Linked DNA regions of Cricetulus griseus. The protein of the gene in region 1 interacts with the protein of each later gene in a biochemical or structural test. Links are inferred from orthologs where the notes say so. Each region holds a gene or a part of one and is shown in the gene's direction. Other genes may lie near its edges.

Evidence for each region.
Region 2: the proteins of Amfr (region 1) and Bag6 form a complex in vitro, tested with the Homo sapiens proteins (2 studies listed by BioGRID, with this or other methods). The link is inferred for Cricetulus griseus from reciprocal best matches to the Homo sapiens genes AMFR and BAG6.
Region 3: of the proteins of Amfr (region 1) and Herpud1, one has a biochemical effect on the other in vitro, tested with the Homo sapiens proteins (6 studies listed by BioGRID and IntAct, with this or other methods). The link is inferred for Cricetulus griseus from reciprocal best matches to the Homo sapiens genes AMFR and HERPUD1.
Region 4: the proteins of Amfr (region 1) and Ube2d1 form a complex in vitro, tested with the Homo sapiens proteins (2 studies listed by BioGRID). The link is inferred for Cricetulus griseus from reciprocal best matches to the Homo sapiens genes AMFR and UBE2D1.
Region 5: the proteins of Amfr (region 1) and Ube2g1 form a complex in vitro, tested with the Homo sapiens proteins (7 studies listed by BioGRID, with this or other methods). The link is inferred for Cricetulus griseus from reciprocal best matches to the Homo sapiens genes AMFR and UBE2G1.

What each region holds. Positions count from the first base shown.
Region 1 is NC_048596.1:170,161,305-170,166,802, reverse strand, and holds the end of Amfr (E3 ubiquitin-protein ligase AMFR), read left to right. Parts: intron 1-1,207; coding exon 1,208-1,392; intron 1,393-2,168; coding exon 2,169-2,316; 3' UTR 2,317-3,704; downstream 3,705-5,498. UniProt on the Homo sapiens protein: E3 ubiquitin-protein ligase that mediates the polyubiquitination of lysine and cysteine residues on target proteins, such as CD3D, CYP3A4, CFTR, INSIG1, SOAT2/ACAT2 and APOB for proteasomal degradation.
Region 2 is NW_023276806.1:231,656,296-231,662,779, forward strand, and holds the start of Bag6 (large proline-rich protein BAG6), read left to right. Parts: upstream 1-2,394; 5' UTR 2,395-2,418; intron 2,419-2,622; exon of another isoform or gene 2,623-2,881; intron 2,882-2,912; exon of another isoform or gene 2,913-3,103; intron 3,104-3,414; exon of another isoform or gene 3,415-3,556; intron 3,557-3,657; 5' UTR 3,658-3,670; coding exon 3,671-3,778; intron 3,779-6,484. UniProt on the Homo sapiens protein: ATP-independent molecular chaperone preventing the aggregation of misfolded and hydrophobic patches-containing proteins.
Region 3 is NC_048596.1:170,618,191-170,622,122, forward strand, and holds the start of Herpud1 (homocysteine-responsive endoplasmic reticulum-resident ubiquitin-like domain member 1 protein), read left to right. Parts: upstream 1-1,132; 5' UTR 1,133-1,245; coding exon 1,246-1,392; intron 1,393-3,932. UniProt on the Homo sapiens protein: Component of the endoplasmic reticulum quality control (ERQC) system also called ER-associated degradation (ERAD) involved in ubiquitin-dependent degradation of misfolded endoplasmic reticulum proteins.
Region 4 is NW_023276806.1:266,584,380-266,590,178, forward strand, and holds the end of Ube2d1 (ubiquitin-conjugating enzyme E2 D1), read left to right. Parts: intron 1-411; coding exon 412-517; intron 518-2,466; coding exon 2,467-2,560; intron 2,561-3,202; coding exon 3,203-3,248; 3' UTR 3,249-4,092; downstream 4,093-5,799.
Region 5 is NC_048600.1:86,468,805-86,474,603, forward strand, and holds part of Ube2g1 (ubiquitin-conjugating enzyme E2 G1), read left to right. Parts: intron 1-4,492; coding exon 4,493-4,595; intron 4,596-5,799. UniProt on the Homo sapiens protein: Accepts ubiquitin from the E1 complex and catalyzes its covalent attachment to other proteins. In vitro catalyzes 'Lys-48'-, as well as 'Lys-63'-linked polyubiquitination. May be involved in degradation of muscle-specific proteins.

The sequences.
Region 1 (5,498 bases):
TGGTTTGCTCCAGCGAATACCTTTTAGACTTTGTAGCGCTCAACTTCCAGTGTGTATGTTGAGGCTGTCCTCATAGTACTTTCATCTTTCAATTTTTATTTCTTCTTACAGTTGAGTAATACCCTTTGTTTATTCCTTTATCTGCTAATGGGTATCTAGGCTCTCTCTCTTTTCCCTCCCTCCCTTGCCTTCCCCCTTCCCCCCCTCTTTTCTTGGTTTTGAAACCCAAGGCCTCCCACATGCTACCTAAGCCCTCTTCTGACTTCCAGCTGCACCCAGCTGTTTTTTTCCCTATATGGAGACAGAGACTCAGACTTACCATGTGGTTTAAGTTCCATATGGCTGTCTTCAGATCCACTCTTGGCTGAAGGCAGAGAGAAGCATAAGGGTCAGAGACAAATAAGTACTCACAGTGGAAACACTTTCAGCTCTGTTGCAGCCTAGAAGTGGGAGGTGGGCAGGCTCTGGCCATATAAGTCTTTAAGTCTGGGAGCAGGGGCAGTGTAGGTGGATTGTACCTGCTTAAGGATGTTTGGATATCTGGGCAGTGTCTTGGCTTTTGGAGCTTCAGCCCAAACCAGGAAAGTCCTTTGTTACCCTTTAAACCCACAATCTGCTATATCTGTTTCCACAAAAGATCTCATATGACTATTTTCAAGTTGAGGACACAAATTTCATACAACAGATAAGACTTGTTTAAATTATTTGGGCGGTGGTGGCGCATGCCTTTCATCCAGCACTCAGGAGGCAGAGGCAGGCAGATCTCAGTGCTTTCAAGGCCAGCCTGGTGTACAAAGGGAGTTCCAGGACAAACAGAACGACACACAAAAACTCTGTTGTGAAAAAGCAAAACAAAACAAAAACAACAACAAAAAAGACTTTTTAAAATTCTTAAGCAGTTGGCAGAATTGAAAAGGAAATTTTTGGAGTACTGACTAGTGGTTTATCGTGGTCTGTTCCAAGAGTGCAGGTTGAAAGTGCGGATTGTGTTTCTCATAAAGGCAGCTATTTGCTTACTCCACTACTATGAGTCCTCATGTGAGCCATGACAGCTGGCATCCCTCCCCAGAGCCCAAGTTTCTTGCTTTGGATTCCTGTCTAGCAGAAGGCCCCAGTGATCCAGCAGAGGCCTGTCAAAAATGCCCTGGCAAGGAGGAAAGCTGCCTGGGAAGGAAAGGTCTGTGCTAACAGCTCCCTCTCTGTCCAGACGGAGCGTGTACCACTGGACCTCAGTCCTCGCCTAGAAGAGACCTTGGACTTCAGTGAGGTAGAAGTGGAGCCCAGTGAGGTGGAAGACTTTGAGGCCCGGGGGAGCCGCTTCTCCAAGTCTGCTGATGAGAGACAGCGCATGTTAGTCCAGCGCAAGGATGACCTCCTGCAGCAAGCTCGGAAGTGAGTTGATTCTCCAGTCCTAGTCAGCATACATAAATTATGGGGAAGATGGCAGCTTGGTGCCAATTTTCTCAGTCCTGTACATGAATTACCTTCTCTCTGGTTCCGAGAAGGGGCACTGTTAATCCATGTGACAGACATACAGATAAGAAACAGATACCCAGGGTGGTAATCCTGCCAGCACCTGGAGTCTGCCTGTAGGACCTTGACTGCCCTGCCTTGGGCCTGCATTGAGAACAAAGCACCTGTGTTGTTCCTTGAGTTCCCCCACAGTTGGTGGCAGCTGGGGCACAGTGTTCCTTTGGGTCAGTAGAATCTTAGTTCAGTTCTTGTGGACAGGGCCAGCATTATTCATTCAAGTGAGTTTTATGCCTTGCACAAATCTGTCGCTCTAAAACTCCATGCTTTGTGGGAAGGGACTAGGCAGAGGAGAGAGAGATGAACTGTTATTTGATAGTCCTTTCCCTGGGAATTAGCCTCATCCATTGAAGAGTCTGCTGTTTTCTCCCTTCCCTGCCTCTACCCTGTTCATCCATCTTGACCCTTCTTTCTCTTTATTCCTCTCCTTTTACACCTTTGGGTTGAGCCCAAGGCCTCACACATACTGAGCAAATGCCTCCTACTGAGATGCCCTGCCCTCAGCCCATAGGCAAGGGTGTTTTCATCTTGAGTGACAACTTTGTGAAGGTGCCTGTGGAGATGGGAAACTGAAAACAAGTGTTCTGCAGATCTTCCCATTTGTTATCTTTCTCTTGTGGCTTTTTCATTTCTTATAGGCGGTTCTTGAACAAAAGTTCTGAAGATGACATGGCCTCAGAGAGACTCCTCCCCTCTGAAGGCACGTCCTCTGACCCTGTTACCCTGCGCCGGAGGATGCTGGCAGCTGCTGCTGAGCGGAGACTTCAGAGGCAGCAGACGACCTAGTGCTTCCTCATCCTCAGCCTCCTGTCCAGCCCTACCTACCGGAAGAGGCCTGTCCCGGTTTTGCCTGCTGTGTGGAGACCCGCGACTGCATTGCTGCTGCATAAAGCATGTGGTCTTAATAGTGTGTGGACAGCCGACAACTTTAATCCTTGTAATACTTTCTATGTGGCATTTCTCTTCCCCTTAGAAATACTGCACATTTGAACTCTAGGCATGACCTCTTCTGGTGTTGACTGGACTTCTTGGGAGTGGGGACAAGCAAAAGGAAGTAGGCACTTGGGCACTCACCTGCCTGCAGCAGGTAGTTTCAATTTCTGCTTTGGTATAAGCCATGGCAGATGTTAAGTGTCTAAAGGAAGCGTGGGTCCTGGGGAGGGTGCATCACAGCAGCCAGGAGGTGCACAGCAGGAGTCTGACTCTACATCTTGACAAGCTATCCTGTTGTCAAATGCTGTGCTAAGGGAAGAAGCATCCACAGTGTTCCAGAGGTCAGTACCACAGGCTCCTGGACTTCTAGACCAGCAGGGCATCATGTATAAAGAACTAATTTGGTACCTGGAGCAGAAAGGGAAAGCTCAGGGCTGCAGAAGGAGGAGACCCTTTTCTGCCCTTAATATTCAGGACCGACCTGAGCCCCGATCCACAGCTGGCTTTACTTCCGTTCACTCTGGTGCTCCTGCATCACATAAGCTTGCCCCTCCTTTTTCTTCCTACTCCCTGCTTACTCTAGGCATGGGAAGGGGTGAGCAGCAAGCTTTGGTTATGGTTTTGATTCCTTGGTCAACCCTGTTAGGCTATGCTAAACATATATGGGTTTGATCCTTGGATAGGTATGGGCCTGCAAGGCAGGGATGTTTTAGGGGACATTGCTGAAGTGTAATACCTTATGTATCTTTCTCCCCCAGAGCCCTTCATTTCCCTGCTTTTGTTCCTGTGGGTCTCATTAAACAGAAAGGGAAGATGTTGAATAATCCACATGCCTCAAGCAGACTTGGTCCTGGATTTTCTCAAATTCTCCACGTATTTAAGGATTTGAAACAACGCAATCATAGGTTACATAGTTTTATGTCCCATTGGATTTTTTTAAATGTTTGAAAACATAGTTTTATGGTAGTCCTTTTGGGAAGAATCCAGTATTATCTAAAATTATTGGCAAAGTTAAATGTATTTTACATACCTGGAAGTTTTTAGAATGTTGACAAGTAATTGAAGAAAGGGCAATAGATGAATAGGCAGAGTAATTTATTTCAATAAATCTTCCAAAAGCCTTACCTTGAACTGCTGTTAGTTCAATTCCTGTGAGTTTTTTTTTTTTTAATCTGTTTTGCTGAGAGCATAGTGATTTGTTTTTATTGTAAAGCAACAATAATAAAAAGCAACCTCTTGTAGTGTGTTGTATATGGTTGGAAGCTGAGGTAGCACTCTTCCAAGGGGCCACTCGAATCCCATTCTGCTTTTGTGTCTGCTCTTTGGGTTTGGGTGTTACAATCCTTTTTGAACTTGTGTGTGTGGGAGGGTGCTGTTTCTCCTAGTGTTTTATTTGGAGAAGGCAACACTTGAGTTTCTCTGTCTGCTTTCATGCTATCTTTCCATGCTGCACATGAAAATAAAGGTGAAGCAGATCCCACATATTACATTTCAGACATGTGAAGGTGGAAACTGCTTGCAGTCAGTTTCAGAGGGTCTTGAATATCGTAGAACAGTAGTGATGTAAGCAGAAGTGCTTTCACATACCTTAAGATGTTCCAGGGAGAGAAGTCCCAAGTACATGCTTGATTTGTCATCCCCCACCCCCACCCCCCTGGAGATAGCTTGGATCAAAGTGAAGTTGGTAGAGAATTATCTGGATAGTCAAGGATTCTGTGTGTTAATAGAAAATTTCTGGTTTTCAGCAAACCTCCAAGGAACTGGGAAATTTTGGAACTATTCTGTAATTCTCTGTTTTCCTCATTGGTCATATTTGATTTTTATCTTCTTGGGTCCTTAATTTTTTTCCTTTAAAAATTTGAGGCTTTTATGTAGCAGAGAGAATGATTGTGCAAATTTGTTGTACTGGTGACTCTTGAGTGCTCAGGTAACCTGAACCTGACCTTCCCTAGAGCAGTGTAGAGAGTGCTCTTCAGTTTGCAGTCAGCAGGCTCGATCCTGTGTTGAGATTTTAGGAAACTGATCTGTGAGCTCTTTGGGAGCTGGGCACACACAAATGGGAGGCTCGTTAAGGAGCTGTGTCTCTGCCCTGGAAGGCTCCCTGTCCAACCTGAAGGTCAGTCTCCCACCTCTGCTTTCCATTGGGTTTGAAGTGATTCTGGCCCTGGCTGTACAATGGAGTTTGTGTGTTTTTGTTTTTTTAAATCTGCAAAATCCATTCACAGGTTGGGAGAGAACTTGGTGGAATGAAACACATTTGGAGAGAAATTGAGACCTGTCAGGAACAGGTGTATTTTTCTTTAAGCTTCCATCGGAATCTTGGTTTGTCCTCTGATATAACAGTTAAGGTGTAGATTGGGTGTAGGTTGTTTGGGTCCCTCTGTAGACAGCAACCTGGGGTGAAGACAATTGGTAGGGAAAGCACTGGAAAAGAGGTGTGGTTTGGCAGAAGAGGTTTCAGAGGGTGCCTGCATTTACTAGGTATTCAGCATAATGGCAGGTGACAGGACTGTTAGCCTTGGTCTGAAACAGTGTCGTGCCCCCCTTCACACACACACCATGCTGGATCCAAACAACCAACGGCATGTGCTGTGTGTCAGGGAGAGGCCTTCCTGAGCTGAGAATGTCCATGTGGGGTGCTGTTAGGAGATGGGACTAAGCAGACCTCTGTAAGGATCCCTCCATTACAGACACTGAACCTGCTGTTTACTGCTGGCCTAAGGACTGGCCTGCCATATGAGGCACTTTGGTAGGCCCAGTCTTAATCCATTGGCTAGTTCTTTGCAAGGCCACAGTAATTAGAGGGTGTAGTGAGAGCAACAGCTGAAGAGCTCAGACTGAGAGAGCCAGGCTGTGTTGTCTTGCTTCCCTTGTGTTCTACCCGCTGAGTGCCCTGTGCCCTGCTGTAGTAGGACAAGCAAAGCAAAAGGAACCCTCCCAAGAGACTTTGATATGGAAGGCTGAGGCGATTTGGCCCTCTTAGAGGGAAAGCCCTGGGCACAGGAGACCGGAGAAGGGTGTGGCTTTTTTCTCTC
Region 2 (6,484 bases), on another chromosome or scaffold:
CGAATACTGGGACTAAAGATGTGTACCATCACTGCTGGGCTAGGGACGGTTTTCTTTTTCCTCCTGATGCTGGGGATCAAACCTAGAGCTTCAAGCATACCAGGCATGCTCAGTAATATCAATGATCCACACACCGGCAATCTCCTGGGACAATTGTCTTAATCTCTCTTTCTCTCTCTGTCACTCTTGATTGCTCTTTTTATTTGTTAGTCTCACAGTTAAATGAGATCATGTACACACCAAGTCAGAAGTAAATACCCACTGTCATTAGTAACTGCAAGGTACCCACTACAATTGCTGGTGATAGTTTTTAAATGGATTGCTATGTTGTCAAGATTTAAACACAATGTCAAGAGACAGTCACTGGATTGTCTTAGTGTGTGGAGCTGTCAATGCAATGAGAGGTGGGACTTAGGTACATAAATACCATCCTCTTCCTAAATGCCCGTCTCTCTGCCTTAAGGCCCGTGATAAATAGACACAGAAGTGACTCCAGCTTTTCTTTTAAACACAAGTCTCCAGAGAAGTGAGACCTGCTGGAGGTTGTGATTTATTTAGAGGAACAATGGTGCAGGCCTTGGCGGTGGAGGCTCTGGCCTTTAATCCCAGAGCTCTGGAGGCAGAGGCAGGCCGAGCTCTGTGAGTTCGAGGCCAGCTTGGCCTACAGAATGAGTGCCAGGACAGCACAAACACACACACATATATATGGAGAGACACAGATCATTCATATTTTATATATATGTGACTTATTAAAGCTTGCCTGAGGATTCAGAAAGCTATATATATATATATATATATATATATAGAGAGAGAGAGAGAGAGAGAGAGAGAGAGAGAGGAGACAGAGGAAGAGGGAGAAGGGGCAGGGTATTTGTCCCAGTGTGGGACAAAGGACTGCCCCTGGCTATAAGGGAGATGACAGACATGGTACATAGGAAAATGGCAGTCTATAAAGATATAAAGGGGATGTTAGGATCATGAGTTTAATCTTAGTTGGGCATGTTAATTAGGTGAGCCAAAGGGGGCTTTCGGTTGCTGGACTTCAATACTTTGATAGCTGATCTTGGTAGTCAGCCTCAGGGAGAGGTAGTGGCCAAAAAGGGTTTGCTTCCTGAATCCTCAGGCAAGCTTTAATAAGTCACAAATATATCCCTACAATGGTGACTATCTTCAGGAATGTAACCTAACAGTTTTGAGCAGGGGAGAGGGAGTAAGAGAAGGGTAAGGATCGCCAGATCCATGCTGGACACACTCACGCTGGCCAGAGTCCGACTGCCATTCAGGCCACCCTTGGTACTTACTATCTTGCTACAAAGCAATCACAAAAACGTGGGCGGTGATAGGCATGACCGTTCTATTGGAGTGATGCTCAGGCTTGTGTGTGGGAGCAAGGGATCAAACCCAAGGCCTTGGGCTTGCCGGGCAAGTGCCCTCCCACTCCAGCCCTTCCAATTTTATGAGGACACACTAAAAGGTGGGTTTAGGGTGCTTGATACCAAGCCAAGCCTGAGGACCTGGCTTTGATCCCCAGGTCCCCACAGTGGGAAGGGGACTCCGGTATGTTTCTCCACACTTAGGCTGCTGTGGTAGATGCAAGGCACATAGCCCGCCGCCCCCCCTTCCCCCTCCAAAAAAATGTTTTTAGGACAGAGGTGGGTGGATCCCTGAGTTCCGGGACAGCCAGATCTACATAGTGAGAACCGCGTTTCAGAAAAATAAATAAATGACGTCTGGCCGGGTGCCACAGGGCGACTTTAATGCCAGCCCCGGGCAGTGGCGTGGAGCTGTGGGGCTGTGGGGCGTGAGGAGTTCCAGGCACTTCAGGGGAACACGGTGAAAGCCTCAGCATTCAGGCTGGGACAAAGCAACCACTGCTCACTAAACAGTGCTCACTGCCGGCGGGGATGAGCGGGGAACCCCCAACCCCTTCTCTCGCCCTTTAACCCTGTGGCCCGGGCACGCGCGCTGGGGGTTTGCTTGGTCTTGTCTTTTCCAGAGCGCTAGCGCTTCCCGGCGTAGCCCAGGCCGGCCTCCGGGGGCCGGGGTCACAGGCGCGCGCCGGCCCCGCTTCCACCAGCGGCGAAACGCTCGGTGGTCTTGAACCATGGCGCTCCCTCGGGCGCCCTCGACCAACCAACGACCCTCAGCACACGCCACAGTCTGCGAGGCGCGCAGCCGCCCGGTCCGGCTCGGGTGCGAGCGCACACGGCCCACGGAACGTCCAACCGTCGGGCGGCGGGGGGCGGGGGGGAGCGGCTTCCGGGAGCGCAGGCAGTGCGGGAGGACCAGAGGCCCTGCCGGGGCTTAGGTGGCTAGGGCTGTGCCCGTGCGTTTCCTCTGCCCGCCCAACGCGGACGCAGGCGCACGGCGTGCAACAGCCCCACGAGTCCCCCACGGGCGTCCACAGCGTCTCTCCGGGTAGGGGCGGCATCCCGCTCAGCGAGGGTTTCCTTCAGGCGTTACGGCGGCCACCTCGGCCGTGCGGCGCTTGCGGGGCGCGCGCCGTGGGGGTGGGGGCGGGGGGCGGCGGAGAAACGCACGCAGCCCGAGGCGAGGCGGGGCGGGGCGGGGCGGGGGGCGGGGCTGCGGTGTGCGCACGCGCCGCGCGGCTCACGCAGGCGCAGTGCGGTCCCCCGGGCGACGGCGGCGGCGGCGGCGGCGGCTCCTCGGGGTGGTCGGCTCCCTCCCATCTAGGCCGGCCCCGGCCCGTCTCGGCCCCTGGGAACTCACTGTCTGGGGCTGCGGACTTCCTCGTCGTGCCCCGCAGAAGCAGATTGGGGGGAGCCTGGGGGAGCCGGAAGTACCGCCTCGAGAGCCCCAAATACGATCGGGGAAACGGAAGTGGCCTGTGGTGCCCGCTTGGGGGAGGCCGGAAGTGACGGTACGGCGGGGAGCCGGCGGGGGGGGCGGAGCCGCGGGGCGCTGCGCCGCGCCTCGCCGTGTGTGTGTGTGCGTGCGTGCGTGCGTGCGTGTGTGTGCGTGTGTCTGTGTGTCCGTGTGTCTGTATGTGAGGGGCCGCGTGTCGGGCCGCGCGCGCTGCTGCTGCAACGCCGGCGGAGGCGGAGGCGGAAGGACGGGCGGCCAGCGAGCCGGTCGGGCTCCCGTGAGTGTCCGCGTCCCCGGCGCCTGTGGTGCTTGAGGCGGGTTCGATCGCCGTGGCGCGCGTGCGCGGAGCCACTTTGTCCGCCGAGCGCGGCGCGGCGCGGCGCGACCCGACCCTCCCCCCGCCCCCCCCTCGCGTTGTCCTCGGCTCTCCCGCTCTCTCGGGCGCTTGCTGGGTCGCGACCGGTGATGACAACTGGTGTCCGGTCGGTCTCGTGCTTGCTTGCCCGGCTCGTAGCCCAACTGGCTCTCCCGACCGTGATTGGCACCGTGGAGCCCCTCCCACCGCTCGCCCTTCGCCTCCCGGTGCCGTCCCCCTCCTGCCCTTTGTGTTTCTCCTCCCGGGCCTCGGGGCCGAGGAGGGGGCGATGAGGGCGAGGACGAGTGGATGTGTTTGTGTATGAGAAACTTTGAGAGGGATCGGGGCGGAGGCCGGGCCCGGACGCTCTTCCGGGTGTGTAGAAGGCGGGGCGGGCGGGCGGACGGACTGACGGGCGAGCGGGCGAGCGAGCGGGCGGCGGCGAACCACCCCCTCCCTCCCTCGTCTCTCCGTAGAGAGCTGTCGGCCATGGAGCCGAGCGATAGTGCCAGGACCGCTATGGAGGAGCCCGACAGCCTGGAGGTCCTGGTGAAGACCCTGGACTCTCAGACTCGGACGTTCATTGTGGGGGCCCAGGTGAGGCGGGGGGAGAGGCGGCGGTGTGTGTGCCCGCTTCGCTCGTGTGCCTTCCGAGGGGCGAGCCTGCTTGTCTTGTCACCGACTCCTTTGTCCCTCCCTCGGTAGAACCTCTGATGTTCCTGTTGAGTGAGGAGGTGTGGTTACCGTTGAGTGAGGCAGGTTTTGTTCCGCCCGCCTTCACCTCGGTGGAGCTCGGTGGAGAGGGAAATGCCGCGGAGGAATCTGTACCTGGCCTGGGCGGACCTCTGCCCACAGGGACACGGATGATTCCGGCCTGGGGGACCGGAAGCAGCACCGGGGCCTCAGACAAGTGTGCTGTGTTTGCTCTGTCTTTGAACAACTTGTTCTCGGCCTTAACACTGTATTTATAGATCCCGGGAGCCTGCTTTTGTGCTCTGTTCAGGAGGATTGCCAATATCTTGAGGGGTGGTTTGAACCTCCCGAGCTTACAGGGTGCAGTGTGGGCACAGTTATCTTTGTCTTTACTGCATAAATCTTTTCGGGAACAAATCATGAACGGGTCACTTTCGTGGTTTTATAAAACATTGGGAACACCGGGTACACTTTCGTGAGTAGGTGTCTGATGGCCCTTACCAAGAGTTACTGTCTAATTTGGAAGATTCTTTTTGGGGGTGGTAGGGACAGCAATACCTCATAGAGCTCAGGCTGGCTTTGACCTTCTGACTTCCATCCTCTGTGCTAGGATTTTAGGTGTAGCATACCTGACTTGTTTTAGGTTGTTTTGTTTAGTTTTTCCCCAATAGGGTTTCTCTGTGTAGCCCTCTCTGTCCTGGAGCTTTATCTGTAGACCAGGCTGACTTCAAATTCAGAGATCCGCCTGCCTCTGCCTCCCGAGTGCTGGGGTTAAAGGCGTGCTCCACCATTGCCTGGCTGAGGTAGGGTTTTAAGTGTCTTAGAACTGATTGTCTTTTGGATTCGTCATCCTCCTGTCTCTGCTTCCCAAATTTGGGGGTCTCAGGTGTGTGCTACCACGTTGGTTTGTTTGGGTTCTTCATTTTCCCTCCTCCCCTTATTGGGGGGGGGATGTTCCTACTGGTGTTGAACCCTGGACCTAGCACAAAGTACCTACCCCTGAACTCTAGGAAACCTCCTGGGCTCCCTTCTTACTTCTTCATTAGTTATCTTCCCAGACCCTGGATCCCAACCCAGTATTACTTGCCATTGGTGGAAATGGTTGTTTGAGGGTGTATCAGGTGTGTCATCCCCCCAGGTTTCTCTGTGTACCTCTTGCTATCCTGGAACTCAATCTGTATAGCAGTCTGGCCTAGAATTCACAGAGTCTGCTAAGATTAAAGATGTTCACCACCACCTGGCTTCAAAAAAAATGTTTTTAAGACTTTATTCATTTTTGTTTTTGTTTTTGTTTTGTTTTGTTTTGTTTTTCGAGACAGGGTAGCTGTGTGGCTTTGGAGACTGTCCTGCAACTAGCACTTATAGACCAGGCTGGTCTCCATTTGCCTGCCTCTGCCTCCCAAGTGCTGGGATTAAAGGCGTGTACCACCGCCCGGCCCAAGACTGGCTTTTTTTTTTTTTTTTTTAATTTAAGATTTTATTTATTATGTATACAACATTCTGCTTCCGTGTATATCTGCACACCAGAAGAGGGCACCAGATCTTATTACAGATGGTTGTGAGCCACCATGTGGTTGCTGGGAATTGAACTCAGGACATCTGGAAGAACAGTCGGTGCTCTTAACCTTTGAGCCATCTCTCCAGCCCCCAAGCCTGGCTTTTATTTTATTTTGTATGTGAGTGTCTTGTCTGTAGGTTCATATGTGTGCTGTATGTGCAGTTGGTGCCCGAGAAGGTCAGAAGAGGATATTAGGTCCTATAACCTGTGGAAGTCAGGAAATCGTAACACCTACTCTGTTATGTATGGATGCTTGTAAACCACCATGTGCTAGGAATTAAACGCTGATCCTATGCAAGAGCAACAAGTGTTCTTAACCTCTGAGACATCTCTCTAGACCCTTGTTTTGTATTTTAAGTCAGGGTCTCTCTTTGTAGTCTTGCTGGCTTGGTAGCCACAGAGATCCACCTGCCTCTGTCTCAATGGGAGTAAAGGGTTGTGCCAGTGTCCACCTGTTTATAGGTTTGCGATTACAGCCATGAGCTCCTGGCATGGTTTTATATTTAGAAAAGGATCACCAGAATCTGTAGATACTAAGCCAAGAAAGAGAAAGGGAGAGCTGTTAGGCTTTTTTCTTGTAACATTTATTATTTATTGTTGTTGTTGTGGTGGTTATTCTTTGGATTATTTATTTATTTATTTTGGGGACAGTCTCTACATAGTTCTGGCTGTCCTAGAACTCACTCTGTAGACCATGCTGACCTCCAACTCACAAGAGATTCACTGCCTCTTCCTCCCAATTGCTGATTATTTTTATTTTTAATTTTGTATTGGTTTGTGTGGAGGCAGGGGTTTGTGAGTACCTGTGGGCACCAGTGTTCATAGAAGCCAGAGACACTGGGTCCCCTAGAATTGAATTTACCAGTAGCTGTGAGCTGCTGCCCAGTATTGGTGCTGAAAATTGAACTGAGGGTATGAACGCTGTTAGCTTTTAACCACTGAGACATTTCCCCAGCCTGCCTTTGTTTGTTTCTTATTGTTGGTGTCCCTCTCACCCCTCATACCCAGCTTTGTTTATTGTCTGTTTTGGGTTTTTGTTTGTTTTGAAGTTG
Region 3 (3,932 bases), about 460 kb from region 1:
GTAGGAAGATAATTGTTAAGATGAGGTCATTAGCACAATATGACCAATATCCTTATAAAAAGAGGGAAATTGGACAGAGATGTGCACGATGATACAGATACATTCACGCACGTGTATGTGCATGCATGCCATGTGAACAGAAAGGTCGAAACTGGAACAATACACCCGGAAGCTAAGAAGTGCCAAGGACAGCTGGCAATCCTGCAGAAGTTATGAGTGGCACAAACAGATTCTCTCCCCAAAGGAAGCAATACTACTCTACACCCTGGTCTCAGACTTCCAGCCTCTACAGCTGCGAAATAAATTCAGGTTGCTTCAGCTCCCAGGTTATGGCACTTCCTTCTGGTTGTGTGGCAAACTTACATCACCATCCCTAACAGGCCCCTCCTGTTACTCCTCTGATTTCCTGGCATGGCTGAAAACCCAGGTGTCCCAACAGGATTGGGATAAGGATGAGGTCAGGTGAATGCTAATTTTGTTTTTCAAGTTTAGAGGGAACAGTGGAGCGCTGACAACACTAGAGGCTTCTGGACAAGTTTCACGACTCCACTGATGTCCTTGTCTCAACCCCAATTTAAAAGCAGCAGATGTCTATGATACAAACATTAGGCAGAAGCCCCACACTTGGTGCCATTCATAGTAAGGGGCAAGTCCCACACCTGGTGCAGAGTTAAAGTCCGGGAGGAAAAGCATCCCTGGATGCCAGGCTGCAGAGCCCCCGGGGAAATGCAAGAGGACGTGTGCTCGGCGCCTGGGGTCAGAAAGGGAGGAGGGCCGCTTTGTGAGGGAACAATTTGCAGAGCCCGCTAAGGTGGGAGTCAGGCGGGCCGCCCGGGCTCAGGCACCGCACGCATCCCGCGCTAGGGCCCCAGAACAGGACCAGCGCCCGGGAGCGCTCCCCGACATGGCCGCCGAAGCCCGGCTCCGGCGCCGCAGCCGGGACTCAGGATGACGCAACCGCGGCGGGTTGCATCAGCCCGCACCCTCGCGCTCAGCCCGCCTCATCGCCGCCCTGCCCCGGGCGCTGATTGGGCCACGTTAGACACTGACCTCTGTCTCAGCCAATGGGTGGCAGCCACAGAGAGCGCCGACTGTGAAGCCCAGGCGCGGGGCGCCCATAAAAGGTACTCGAGACGGGGGCGCGCGTCCCAAAGACGCCAAGTGTCGTTGTGGAGTCTCCGACGACGGCTGCGTCGCCGCCAGCTCGGCATCCTTGAACGCTGCCGAGCCGCCGACGCCGCAGACATGGAGCCCGAGCCGCAGCCCGAGCAGGTCACGCTGCTGGTGAAGAGTCCCAACCAGCGTCACCGCGACTTGGAGCTAAGTGGCGACCGCAGTTGGAGTGTGAGCCGCCTTAAGGCCCACTTGAGCCGAGTCTACCCCGAGCGCCCGGTGAGTGGGGACCCCGGGGTGCCACGCCCGGCAGAACTGCCTGAACTCACCTGTCACGCATCGCAGGGCGCCGGTCCCCTTCCGGCCCGACCGTCCCCCGTGCCCCTCTGCTTGCCCCGGCGTTTGTCATCTCTTGTGGGCCTCCACCCCTCCGTGCCAGCGCCCTGCTAGCTCCTTGTCACTTCGCCTGCCTCCCTGTATCCCTTTACTTCCAAAGCTGTCACACGTCAGCCCCACGTCCCTATACCCCCTCTTTGTCCTCCCAGGTGGCATTACAGCCTTCGCCAAGCCAGGGAAACAGTAATTTGACCTTGGATGAGTCATTTCCCATCTAAGCCTTAGTGACCCCCCCCCAAAAAAAACAAAAACAAAACAAAAACAAAAAACAAAACAAAACTAGGTGACTAGGTGTTTCCAATTCGGCTTGCATCCAGTAGGTAGAAATAAGAAATGTGAATGTTGCCAAACGAGACTTCTGGGTGCAGCGGGGACAGAAGAGTGCATGTGCCAGCATGGGCCAGTGGCTGGAGGACGGGGAGGGGGGTGTTTCGTTCCCAGTCACCAACTTCTGAAGGTCCTACGCCCAGAAGCTAGACGTGGCTCTTTTCCTGCCACCTTCCGTTGGCTGCCCCTCCCTGTCGCTCAGCGCTCCAGAGGCATTGCTTAGTCCAGGGAGGAGCCCCCTTAACTTTCTAGCAAAGACTGAGAAAGGAAGCCACAGCTGGAGTCGCCCTAAGTCTGGTTTGACGATTTCCGTGGGTCAGTTAGGAGTGTTTTTTAGTTGACACATCTGTCAACAGCTCCCCTTAGCCCCGCCCACCCCTCCAGTCCCTGCCACGTGATGGAGGCTGTGCTGGACCTTCCTGTATTTACTTTGTACTCTGATGTTATGTAAGTGTCCACGAGTGCAGTTCTGGATCAAACAGGAGAGGGCAATCTGGTGGCTACAGATGGGGACTTCCGAGCAATTGCCTTCGAGCTCCAACCAGCAGTGGTGCCTGGGTTTCAGTTTGTTTTAGTTCCGCATTGTCGGTAATGTAGGCCAGACTTTTCCCTATGAGTTGTTAGGAACTTACTTACTTTGGGAGTAAGCTTCCAATCCAGTGCCAATGGAATTCATCTGGGCTGTCTGTAATATCTCCTTGGCCGTTTCCATGAAACCAGGTGTCCTTGTTGCGAGATGGCAGTTAGGCACACAAGTGATGCTCCTGTGATCTCTGGTTGCATCATTTGGAGAAGGCTATGTTTTGAGGCTTGTTTTCCTCAGGCAAGGAACATTGGGCCTCTTGGATTTGAAGACCTAAAATGGTAAATATAGGTCTCCTGGGTGTACACATCTGTGTCTTAAAAATCACGGGGAATGGGTGTAGTGGTGCACTTCTGTAATCCAGTACTGGAGAGGCCCACGCAGGAGGGTCATATCCTCCTGGGTTGTATGTAGTGAGAGCCTCTCTCAGAAATGAAGGCAGAAAACATCCTTATATTTTTCTGTAGTAGTACCCGCCATTGGTGAGAACCTGCTTTTATAATTCTCAAATTGGCCTTGAGGACAGAGAGGAAAACAGTTCAAATCCACAGGCAACTGTGCTTTTTTTCAGCATTTGCTGGTGGTTGGCTTCACATTTAGAACAGTAGTTTGCAAATTGATTTGTATAGCATTTACCAGCAAAGCCAGACAGAACAACAGCAAACACAGCATCAGTATACTTCTTTTCTTTAGGTATAGTGTCAAAAGCCCTTATGAATGTTGATAAGCAGATACAGGTTTTGTTGTCATTGTTTTGGTTTTGAGGCAAGGCTCAACACAGGCTAGTTTGAGCTTGTTATACATCTGAGGCTGGCCTTAATCTCGACCTTTCAGCCTCTACCTTCCAAGTACTGAGCTTATAGGCATGTGCCACCATGTGGGTGCAGTTTTCCTGGTCTTTTGGGTGGTAGTATTTTGAGATAGGATCTCTCTAGCAGAGGCTTGTCTACAGCTCATTCATATCCCAGTCTAGCCTGGAACTTCTGCCTGAGCTACCTTCATGCTAAGCCTCTAGATGTGAGCTAAGTTTGGTTTCTTCTAGGCTGGGTTGTTTGGGAGGAACAGCTTTGTGCCAAGTTTTGCTTATGGGTTATTTGGGTGCAGCAGGGTGGTACCCTGGAGTCCATTGCTTTTAAGTATATACTTTTAAGAGTATGGTCTTAAGAGAATTTTTAAAATAGATTTTAGAAGTGAGAATTATATAAAAGTGTGTGGACTCTTGGTGTCTTTAAAGCCACTGGTATGGAGGAGAACATGGGTTGGAATCTTGATTCTATCAGCAGGTGACCTCAGGTGCTATGGGGGGGGGAAGACTGACCAAAAAGTACACTGAGTGTTCTCTGGGCCCAAGTAGGTTTTAAAGTTCATTGCCCCTGAGGCCCTAAATACAATTGTTTTTTTTTAGTAGCAGGAAGCAGTTTCCCTCTGAGTAAGAAGTAAGGTTGTGCGGCCACTCTTAATGGAATAGGGGATCTTGGCCTCCCAAATTTATTTGCATATATATTTAAGGTTA
Region 4 (5,799 bases), on another chromosome or scaffold:
CGGAATTCAGATGCTCAGTGGGTTTTACAGGACGGGTGATCATCTCACTTCTGCTCTGACGGACTCGGTGACCTGTTTATAGATCCAGGTGGCCTGCTGGGTGTTACTCACAGGCTGGTTAAGAAGAGTATTTGGAGGTGTAATGAAAGCCAGAGCAGCTGGTCCAAGTGCCAGTCACCCCAGTGATTGCAGACATCCTCATTACACCCAAGATACGTCCCAGCACCTGGAGGAGAAAAGGAGGTTAAACTGAGTCTCCTTCAAATTCCCAATAGCGGACCTGCATGTAGATGTTTCTGTTCCAAAGCTGTGTAAAGTTGAGCACATTTCTCCCTTGAGTGGATTGGTTCTGCTTGTTCATCGCTTGTGACGATCAACCTTTTTGTTGTTGTTGTTCTGTTTTATGTGTAGATTGCTTTCACGACAAAAATCTACCACCCAAATATAAACAGTAATGGAAGTATTTGTCTTGACATCCTGCGGTCCCAGTGGTCACCAGCTTTGACTGTATCGAAAGGTAATTTCATTTATCAGATTTAAAATAGGCATGGAGAGGACTGTACAATGTCTAGGGACCAGAGTTTAAACAAAAACCGAAGTCCAGACAAACAAAACAGATGCCTCAACCCTCAGTGCTTACTATTTTTGTTTTGTTTTCTCTAGTAACTCTTCGGTCATTCTGGCTTTTAGTAAACTCTGGGATTGGGAGAAATGAGTGAATGGCCAAATCTAAACAAAAAGGGAGTTCAAGGACATCCAGAACTATTACACAGAGAAACTCTGACTCAGAAATAAAAAAAAAAAATTTTTTTTCAGCAGTGAATTTACCATAAAGTGAATAAAGGAAAGATTCTGTCTATAATTATTCAGATTACTATAGTTCTTCTTGGAATGGTGTCCCAAAATGGCTCTCATTTGCCACAAGCTGCTAAGTCCTTCTCACTTAAAGAAATGGCTGGCTGCCACGTACTCAATGACTATCAGTGGTGCTGTGGCTTTTGACTAAAAAATAATTCGTATTGCTAGCCTAGGAGCATAAACTGCTCCGGTCTCATCACATTCCAGGATCGTGACAGAATTACCAAACTCGGCCGCTGGGCACCTGGTGCATACCGAGCCCTGGGGTGGACACCTCTATCCCCTTCCTCCTCTTCATGGGCCATTTGTGATAGTGAAATGGGGGCAGATGGTTCCTGGCAGCCGGACTGGGGAGATAGTTGGGGAACTTCACTCTTGTCCATGTCAGGAGATAGCTCAGACCTCACACACCTATTGGTACACTTTTCGTTTTTCTGTGTTTAAAGGCCTCGATTGACCTTTGCTGTGAGTTTAGTCTGGATGTACAAGGGGATATACAAAGGAAGAGATAACCTTGTCCTGTTGATTTCCTATAGAAGGCCTGAGTCTCATGGGGTAGGATGAGGAAAAGAAACATGGTTTTCCCTTCATTCTCATTGCCCCGTCTCCCTGTCATTTGAAAGTCTACTTTGCTCTAAGTTTACCTGTAGACTAGAAAGATCATAGCAGAGGAGGGTGGGTGGGGCTTGGGAGATGCTTCTGTGGGGTTCCTTGGATGGACCGCACACATGTGAAGCAGGTGGGGTTTGGTTTTGTTTTTAGGACAAGTCTCACTATGTAGTCCAGACTAGTGTCCAGTTAGCAGCTTGTCCTGCTTAGCCTCTCTAGTGCTGGGCCTACTAGGATGTGCTTCTCTTTATTGTGTAGCCCCTCCCCCAGCCCCGCCCCCCAAGACAGAGTTTCTTCTCTGTTTAACAGCCCTAGCTGTCCTGGAACTCGATCTGTAGACCAGGCTGGCCTCCTGGCATAGTTTAAGTGTAGCTATTTGCATTAGTAGTTTTGGCATGATGTAGCAACAGATACCTTACAGTTTCTATGTATCTTTTAAAATACACAAGTTAAACAGAGATGGGTATTCAGGTTGTTTGTAAGTGAATATAATTAAATATGAGGTGAAAGGAATGGAAGATTTGTTGGAAAAAGATCTTATATTTCATGGATGGATGGGGACACACACACACACACACACACACACACACACACACACACACACACACACACACACACACGAGTTCTTGATTTGAAAGATTGCCAGCAGCTACTTTGGATGACACACATTGTTTTAAGTAAACGTAGATTACTTAGAATTAAAAATGTCAAACATAATAGTTTCATTACTTTAGGAAATAATCATATTTACCCCCCAACTGAAGTTAATATAAAACGTGACTTTTATATTTTTACAGCGCTGGGTGTTTTGTTTTTTGTTTTGCTGGGGTCCCAGGTATGCTTGGAAGCCACCTGCCACTGAGTTGTGCTCTTACCTCTGAGTGTTCCTCTCCTCTTTCATTTCCTTTGTGTTCAGGGCAGTTGTTTTCAGGTGGGTAAGTTTATAAAGCAGCAATGGCATCACTCAATGGAATGTTGTTGTTTTTTCCTCCAACCTAGTGTTGTTGTCCATATGCTCGCTGCTCTGTGATCCTAACCCAGACGATCCTTTAGTACCAGATATTGCACAGATCTATAAATCAGACAAAGAAAAGTAAGTGTGTCCCGCTGTACACTTCCTGTTGTGTGCGTTTCAATATGGTTTGCTGCCTGTGTACTATATGTGAAGTACAATTAATTCTGTGTAAGTTGTGGTTTTTGGTTTTTTGTTTGTTTTTTAACTGTCTCAGAAACAAAAAAAAGAAACCTCTTTCTGGGTCACTGTCTAGTAGATCATGTCCTCTGTCTGTGCTGTGCCCTCATCGTTTCTAGCTAGTAAATTCATCATGGAAGGCTTTCATCACTGGGCGGCACTGGGCATTGTTTCCCCATCGTCTCCTAGAAAGAAAAGTTATTTCTCTGCCCACACACACTGAACTTCTCTAGCCAGTTCACCTTCCTGGTGCCTAAGCCTACCTCAGGCTTGACTTCTAGAGATTTCTATTTGAAGTTGGTTTTTTGTCTCGTTTTTTTTGTTGTTGTTGTTTTGTTTTGTTTTTTGAGGAATCTAGTAATTTAAAAGTTGTTTGTTTTTGCTTTTATGTTGGCATGCTTTTGTGTTACCTCAGCCCAGTGACAGGGGAAGGTCTGGTGGTCAGCGAGAGGAGGTAGAAGACCCAATTCTGAACAGAGTGTGGCTTCCTCCGGCTAAACGTGTGTGCTTTTACTCTCTCTCTCTCTTTTTATATGCCTACAGATACAACAGGCACGCAAGAGAATGGACTCAGAAATATGCAATGTAATGTTTTAAACCACTTCCACTTCTGCCAGAGTACTGTAAAACCTGTCTTTTTCAACATTAGCAGTAAGTTGAGTGCCATTTGCTGTCTCCTCTGTTCCACGAACCCTTTGGTTTTTACTCATTTTAAATGTGTTTCTGAAGCAAGACAGAACAAACCTCCAAAGCTACCCTTGAAACTATTCGGAGAGCATTTAGCATTCTATGCTCCTTGAGGAGGACATTTATTTTGGTTTTTGAGACACTTGGACACCTGCATCTTCAAAGCGAGATCTTCAACATGACTGAGAAGCAACCAGATGATTTTTTTTTTTTTTTTGCTTGCTGAAAGGAGATGTTTTTACATGAGAAACACTGTACGTGTTGTCCAAGATGTCGTCACTTTTATAAATCTGAATTCAGATTTCATTCTTTGTTAGCTCACTTTATAATTTGTATTTTTTTACTGTATAGACTAAATATATTCTATGTCAACTCATGACTTCTTTTTCCTGTGAACAGTATTGAAACCCCAACAGCTGATGATGAATTAACTGTGCCCCCTGTCCCCTTGTCTTAGGATATTCTGTGGGTTGAATGCATATTTCTTAAACCAGAACTGATCTTCACACTGTATTTCTCAGTATATTGACTAGAATGGAGAAACACTTGTTTCGGTTTTATTGTACTTGACTTAACTTTATTGCAATGTGAATTAATTGCACTGCTAAGTAGGAAGGTGTGTCACTTTTTCTGTTGTTGCTCTTCACATTTGAATTTTTTTTTCTGTATAGGCAATATTATATTGACACCTTTTACAGATCTGACTGTAGCTTTTTCCATATAAATAAAATGCTTTTTCTACTATTTGTCTTGATTACTTAATGCAAACCCCAAAACTGCTTGATCAAAACTCTATAATTTTGCATGATGACTATTTCCAATGTGGAAAATGTGATCTAATTTTTTTTTTTGCATTTAAAAGAAATTTGTTGTCACTTTTTTTTTTTTTAATTTGGGGGTGTGTTCCTCGGTGCATGTGAAGATCAGAGGACAACTTGTAGGAGTCTCTTCATCATGTGGTTCCTTGAAATCCAACTCCAGGTCACTTTGGTCTCGGTAGCAAGCACCTTTAACCCCTGCCCATGCCACCTCCTATCTTGGCATTTCTAATAGCCACTAATTGCATATAAACATTATTGCAGTAGGCTAGTACCTCTTTATCAGGTTGTCTCCTGTGAGGTAGTATGCTGTGGTCCCTTTTTGTAGTTGAGAATTTAGAAGTTGGGGTTTATCCACATCCAAGATGGATTACTTATACAAGTCCAAAAAGGAGTATGGGTTTGTATTCCCTGCCCTAAAGATAACTAGGGGGATAATCTTGATAACTAGGAGGAATTGACTCTCGGGAATGACTCTCGGTATCACTGCCATGACATCACTCAATGTTTTAAAAGTCTAGAATCTCTAAAATAGAATTTTAATGCCATCACAATTTGAAAAGCATCTGTCTTTACTGTATGTTATCAGCAATTTAAAAAAAAGGTACTTCTGTTTTTATAAATTGTCAGCTAAAAATCAATTTAAGTAAGCAAGTTATCTTTCTAGATTTTTAAAGAAAACAAAGTTCTAATGTTTGAGCTTGAACACCTATCTCATTGATGGTTCATAGGCACATCACACTTGAGAGTGTCATCGTTAACAGTGGTAGTAAATGATCTGATGGGACTACTTGGTAGTAAAAGATTTAACTCCATTGATTATATTTTATCATGATTTGTTATTACTGGAGCACAGGCTAGCCTCTTAGGAAATATATATTTATGAATGATTGTAAAATAATTAAGTGAATTGTGAAATGGATGTATAAGAAAATACCAGCTTTGAGAAATAGAGATAATAATGTCTTGAAGTAGCCATCTCATGAACAAAACCCATGTTACTATCCATTCTATGTGAGCTACATGTCTCCTGAGGTTGGGTGCTCTCATATTTAGATAATATATAGTGTATTGTGAAAGTAAGAGATTTTGTTTCATGACTATCTTAAAGTATCACTTTAAAAAATCATTTGTGTTGACTATGGTGGTACATACCTTTAATCTCAGCATTCAGGAGGCAGAGACAGGAGGATCTCTGTGAGTGAGATGCCAACTGGTCTACCTAGAAAATTCTAGGCCAACCAGGGCTATAGTGTGAGAGACCGTATCTCAAAAAGAAACAAATAAAATTTCTTTTTCCATTTGTATGGCATTTATTTTTGGAAGTGTCCTTGTGTTTCTTTTAAAGTATTTTTTAAAGTGTGTAATGTGTGTTTATTTGTGTGTGTGTGTGTGTGTGTGTGTTTCTATATACATATGCATGCTAGTGCCCAAGGAAGCCAGAAGAGAGCATCAGATCCCCTGGAAATGTACTTACAGCCAGCTGTGAGCTGCTCAATGTATATGCTGGGACCTGAACTCTAGTCCTCTGCTAGAGCAGCCAGTGTCTTGACCTTTGAGCATCTCTCCAGCCCTTAACTCTTGTTTGTCTTTGCTTACATGTGGACTCCTCAGGGGTAAGCACTTTTTTTTTTT
Region 5 (5,799 bases), on another chromosome or scaffold:
GGAATGATGGTGAATTCCCTTAATCCCAGCATTTGGGAGGCAGAGGCTGGATCTCTTGAGTTCAAAGCCAGTCAGGGCTATATAGTGAGACCCTGTTTCAGGGAAAAAAACCCAAAACACTCTCTCTCTCTCTCTCTCTCTCTCTCTCTCTCTCTCTCTCTCTCTCTCTCTCTCTCTGTGTGTGTGTGTGTGTGTGTGTGTGTGTGTGTGTGTGTGTGTGTGTGTGTGTGTGTGTGTGTGTGTGTAAGCAGAGGACAACTTCATATGTTATCCTCAGGACACTATTTCCTTTGAGAATAGGTGATCAGTGAGCCACAGGGATCCTCTGGTTTTGGCTTCTTCAAGCTGGGACTATAAGTTTGTAACCCTAGCAATTTTATGTGGGTTCTGGGGATCAAACTCAGGTTCTGGTACATATAAGTCAAGTACTTTATTGGCTGAATCATCCTCTTAGCTTCTAGGTGCCGTTTTTAAACATTAAAAAATTCAGTGTTTGCTTTGCAACTTGTGTTTCATTTCATCTCCTCTGTAACTATTATCTAGAAGATACTGGATAACTATTGCCTGGCAGGGGCTTCACTTTCTTATGTGAACTTTACCCTAGAGCTTCCAGCTGTGATTTTTGGCAACTAGGCTTTAATGGAACATTTCCCTCATGGGCTGTGACTCAGGGAGTGGGGGGAGGAGGAGGCTTGTAGAAATTCTCATGAGAAACAATAGTTTTGGGGCTGGAGAGATGGCTCAGCATTTTAAGAGTTGGCTTCTCTTCCAGATGACCTGGGTTCAGTTCCCAGCACCCACATGATGGCTCACAATTGTCTGTAACTCCAGTTCCAGTGGATCCAACACCCTCACACAGGCAAAACACCCATGTATGCTTTTTATTTTTTTAAAAAAAATGAATTAAAAAAAAAGAAATAGTTTGGTTGATGTTTGGAGCTGGTTAGTATTTTTCTCATAGAGGTGGGGAGCTATAGGCTTGTTCTTGAGATTATAAAGTGTCCCCACCTCCAGGACATCAACTTGGGGCAAGAGAGTCAGGGATAGGGAATGGGGCAAGAGATGCAGAAAGAACGACCACAAGACAGGATTCTGATCAAGTGGCAAACTATTTTTTTTTCTCAGGCTAGCTTATATAGTCGGCAGAGTAGGATATGGGGAGGGGTAGAATGGGTTGTTTGTGAGCCAGGTGTTAGTGTAGGCAGGATATTAGGAAGCCACAAAGAGGATGTTTGGCAGGGTAAAGAGTTAGTGAGTAAGAGGTCCAGGAAGGGTTGCCTATGTGACTGAGCCTGTGGGTGGAGGACTGGGTCTTTTTCTTGAGCTGAGGTTCTAAGGAGCTCCTATGTAAAGGTTAATATACAACTATGTGGCCGGCCAAGAATGGCCTAGGATCTCATGCCCAGCCCTGAGATTTGGCTCCCAACATATTCCCCCTTCCATGTATAAAAAGAAGCAGCCAAATTTTTCAGCAGTGGGGGGATAGAGGCCTGGCCCCCAATTGGAGAATCTATGTAGATTTTATAAATGACAATTTTCTCATTTATAAGAAGGGGATGACTTCTCGGAGCCATCTGAAAGGCAGGACTGTCTGGATGCCTTTTGTGGGGGTGGGAAAGCGTTAGGACATTGACCCCATTGCATATTCCTCAGAAGACGAGGTCTCCTTGCAGTACCATCCAGGTCTGCACCTCTGAAGCTGGCCGTGGGGAAGTGGTTAGTATTGGACCAGGACAGGCTTAGTGGCAGAGTCCATTTGTTGCTTGACAAAGGCCACAAGTCGATTAAAGGCTCAAGGGCCAAAGGAGATTAGCTAGAGGAGCCCTATCAGGGGTCCAAGGAGGGAAGGGAGGAAGGTGGTTAACTATGGGGGGAAGTAGTAGGAATGGGTAGAAGGAAGCAAAAAGGAGTAACAGGAGGTTATTTTCCCATATGAGGGAAGCCACCAAGCCAATCGTTGAGTCGGTGTCATGGCAGTCATTTTCAGGGGATGTGTAGAATGGGTTGATCGGGACACTGGACAGCAGTGTCAGAGACACAGGACCGTCAACCATGTGTCTAGACATATAGCCATCTTCTCCAGACACTGAAGTTACGTTACAACATAACAATATTGAAAATACTGTACTTGCTGTAGAGCCAGAAACCAAAACTGCAGCAGCAGAAATAATTACTGAAGTGGAAATTCAACTGTTTTTTTGTTGACATGTTGGAGTGTACATTAATTATTTTCTTGTTGCTGTGACAAAATAATTGATAAAAAAAACTTAAATATTTCAGTTTATGGTTCAAGGGTGTTCATTGTGTAGTTCATCATGCCTGGGAAAGTGTAATAACTGGAGTGGGTCAGTGGTACGGTGATGGGAGGGAGTATGAATTCTAGTACTGTGCTTGCTGTCTCCTTTTTTCATTTTTTATGCAGCCGTGGAACACTAACTGATAGAATGATCTCAACCACATTCTATGTTAAACTGTTTTGGAAACACCCTCAGATGAAGGCGTGAGTGAATGAGTTAGTTCACTAGACCCAAGATAACTGATAAATGGGTATTTTATTGGGGAACAACTTACACAGAACAATAACTGCTGCAGCCAGAGGCAGGCAGATCTCTGAGAGCTCAAGGCCAACCTGGTCTACAGAGTGAGTTCTAGGACAGCCAGGGATTGTTACACAGTGAAACCCTGTTGGAGGTTTGCCTGTGCCTGTGCCTGTGCCTGTGCATGAGAGAGAGAGAGAGAGGGAGAGAGAGAGAGAGAGAGAGAGAGAGAGAGAGAGAGAGAGAGAGAGAGAGAGAGAGAGAGAGAGAGCTTCCCTCTTTCTGGTTCTGTCCACACTTGAAGCCATGCCCATAGGGGTGTCACCACTAATACAAATACACTGGCGAGGAAGATGCTGCTGTAATTCCCCCTTTTAGTGTAAAGAAGGTTTTAAGCCTGATGCAAAAACTGTATACAATGTCAAGTATATTCCAGGAAAAGAAAAGGTAAACATACACAAATTAAAACCTACAACCAGCAATAACAACATTGAATAAAAGACACATACTACACTCAGACATGTACCAGAGGTGTGTCTCCTAAGTGATTCCAAGTTGAAGTAGAGGTTGACAAGTGAAGATGGACCTGATATCAATGTATGAAGCTATAGTCGTTGAACTAACACCACCACTTTTGACTGTTTAAAAAGTTAATGCTTCCTCGGTTACTAGCATACTTTGTTTAGCATTTTATAGTAGTGATGTATTCTACTTCCATTATTAGATAGCATGTGCTGTATGAGAATCATGTACTTACCTGCTCAGATTTCTGGCAAGTGCTTTCTGAACTGCTCTTTCACATGTTTTGTCCTCATTGCCTAATTTGAACCACTCAGCCCTTGGCTCTCTTGACAGATAAAATAATTGATAGTTTTTCTGGTTTTGTATATACAGTCATGATTGTGATGGTGGCTTTACAGGTATAGTATATTAAACTTCATCAAATTATATAGTTTACATAGATACAGTTTATCTTATGTCAGTTAAGCTCTTTTGGGGGCGGGTGAGAGATGGTTTCTCTGTGTAGCTTTGGCTGTCCTTGAACTTGGTCTGTAGACCAGGCTTGAACTCACAAAGATCACCTGCCTTTGCCTTCTGAATGCTGGGATTTAGGCATTCACCACTACGACCTGGTCAGTTTTACTTTCTTTTTATTTTATTTTATTTTTTTAAGATTTTGTTTATTATGTATACTGTATTCTGTCTGCATGTCTGCCTGCAGGCCAGAAGAGGGCACCAGATCTCATTACTGATGGTTGTGAGCCGCCATGTGGTTGCTGGAAATTGAACTCAGGACCTCTGGAAGAGCGTGCAGTGTGCACTTTAACTGCTGAGCCATCTTTCCAGCTGCCAGTTATACTTTCTTAAAACTATCTTAAAAACTCACGTGATATGCCTATTACCAATAAATCATTATTTTAGTAAGCTCTGTCTATCTGAACTCTTAAGGCTTTTTTTTTACTCTTCCTTATCTGCTCTTTGATGATCCTTCATTTGTTTCCCAACTTCTTTTTTGATTTTTTGAGACAGGGTTTCTCTGTGTAGCTTTGGAGAGCCTGTCCTGGCACTTGCTCTGGAGACTAGGCTGGCCTTAAACTCACAAGAGATCCGAGTGCGTGCCACCAACGCCCGGCAAAAACTTGATATACTTGATTTGATTTGATTTTTGGTTTTCTTTGAACTGAAATTTCAATGGAGAATTGGCTTTATTTATTTCCATCTTCACAGGCTCTGTGGAAACCTACCTAGACTGCTAAGACCTTGGTTGGAAGACAGTACAATTCCATCTGGATAGTTTGCTGTACCTGTGGCTTGTAGTATGGAAATGTTGTGGTCATGAGGCAGCATTTTTATAGTTTTTATAGTTGATGGCTTATGTATGCTCAAGTTCTGTAATTTACCTATTGGGGGAAAAAACATTTTAAAGTTTTAATTGAAATTTTCTTTTTCTGCAGAACTCAACAAAAATCCAGTGGAAGGCTTTTCAGCAGGTTTAATAGACGACAATGATCTCTATCGATGGGAAGTCCTTATTATTGGTCCTCCAGATACACTTTAGTAAGTATACTGACTGGAACTGACTACTTCAAATAGTTACTCCTAATTTTGAAAATTGAATTTTTTAAAGGAGCAAGCAAAAATTGTTTCTAATACCATTTGTCTTTTTTTTTTTTTTTAATTTAATTTAGAAACAAGCTTCTTTTACCTGTCAATCTCAGTTCCCTCTCCCTCCCCTCTTCTCCTGTCCGGTACTGACCCCTCTATCCCAACCCCTTTCTGCTCCCCAGGGAGGTTGAAGCCTTCCTTGGGGGATCTACGAAGTCTGTTGCATCATTTGGAGCAGGGCCTAGACCCTCCCTACTGTGTCTAGGCTGAGAGAGTATCCCTCTATGTGGAGAGGGCTCCCAAAGTTCATTAGTATAGTAGGGGTAAATACTGATCCACTACCAGTGGCCCCATAGATTGTCCAGACCTCCAAACTGACTTCCTCCTTCAGGGGGTCTGGAACAGTCCTATGCTGGTTTCCCAGCTATCAGTCTGGGGTCCGTGACTTGCTCAGGTCAGCTGTTTCTGTGGGTTTCTCCAGCCTGGTCTTGACCCCCTTTGCTCATCACTCCTCCCTCTTTGCAACTGTATTCCAGAGTTCAGCTCAGTTTTAGCTGTGGGTGTCTGCGTCTGCTTCCATCAGCTACTGGATGAAGGCACTAGGGTGACATATAAGGTAGTCATCAATCTCATTGTTGGAGAAGGGCATTTAAGGTAGCCTCTCGACTATTGCTTAGGTTGTTAGTTGGGGGTCACCCTGTAGATCTCTGGACATTTCCCTAGTGCCAGATTTCTCTTTAAATCTATAATGGCTCCCTTTATGATGGTATCTCTTTTCTTGCTCTCCTTTATTCTTCCCCCGACTCAATCTTCCTGCTCCCTCATGTCCTCCTCTCCCCTCTTCTTCTCCTTCTCTTTCTTCTAACTCCCTCTCCCCTCCCCCATGCTCCCCATTAGCTTAGGAAATCTTATCCCTTTCCCCTTCCCTGGGGGACCATGTATATTTTTCTTAGGGTCCTCCTTGTTTCCTAGCTTCTCTGGTGATGTGGATTGTAGGCTGCTACTTCTTTGCTCTAGATCTAAAATCCATATACGAGTGAGTACATACCATTTTTGTCTTTTTGCGACTGCATTACCTAACTCAGGATGGTTTCTTGTAGTTACACCCATTTGCCTGGGAATTTCAAGATTACATTGTCCCCCCCTCCCCCCAGCT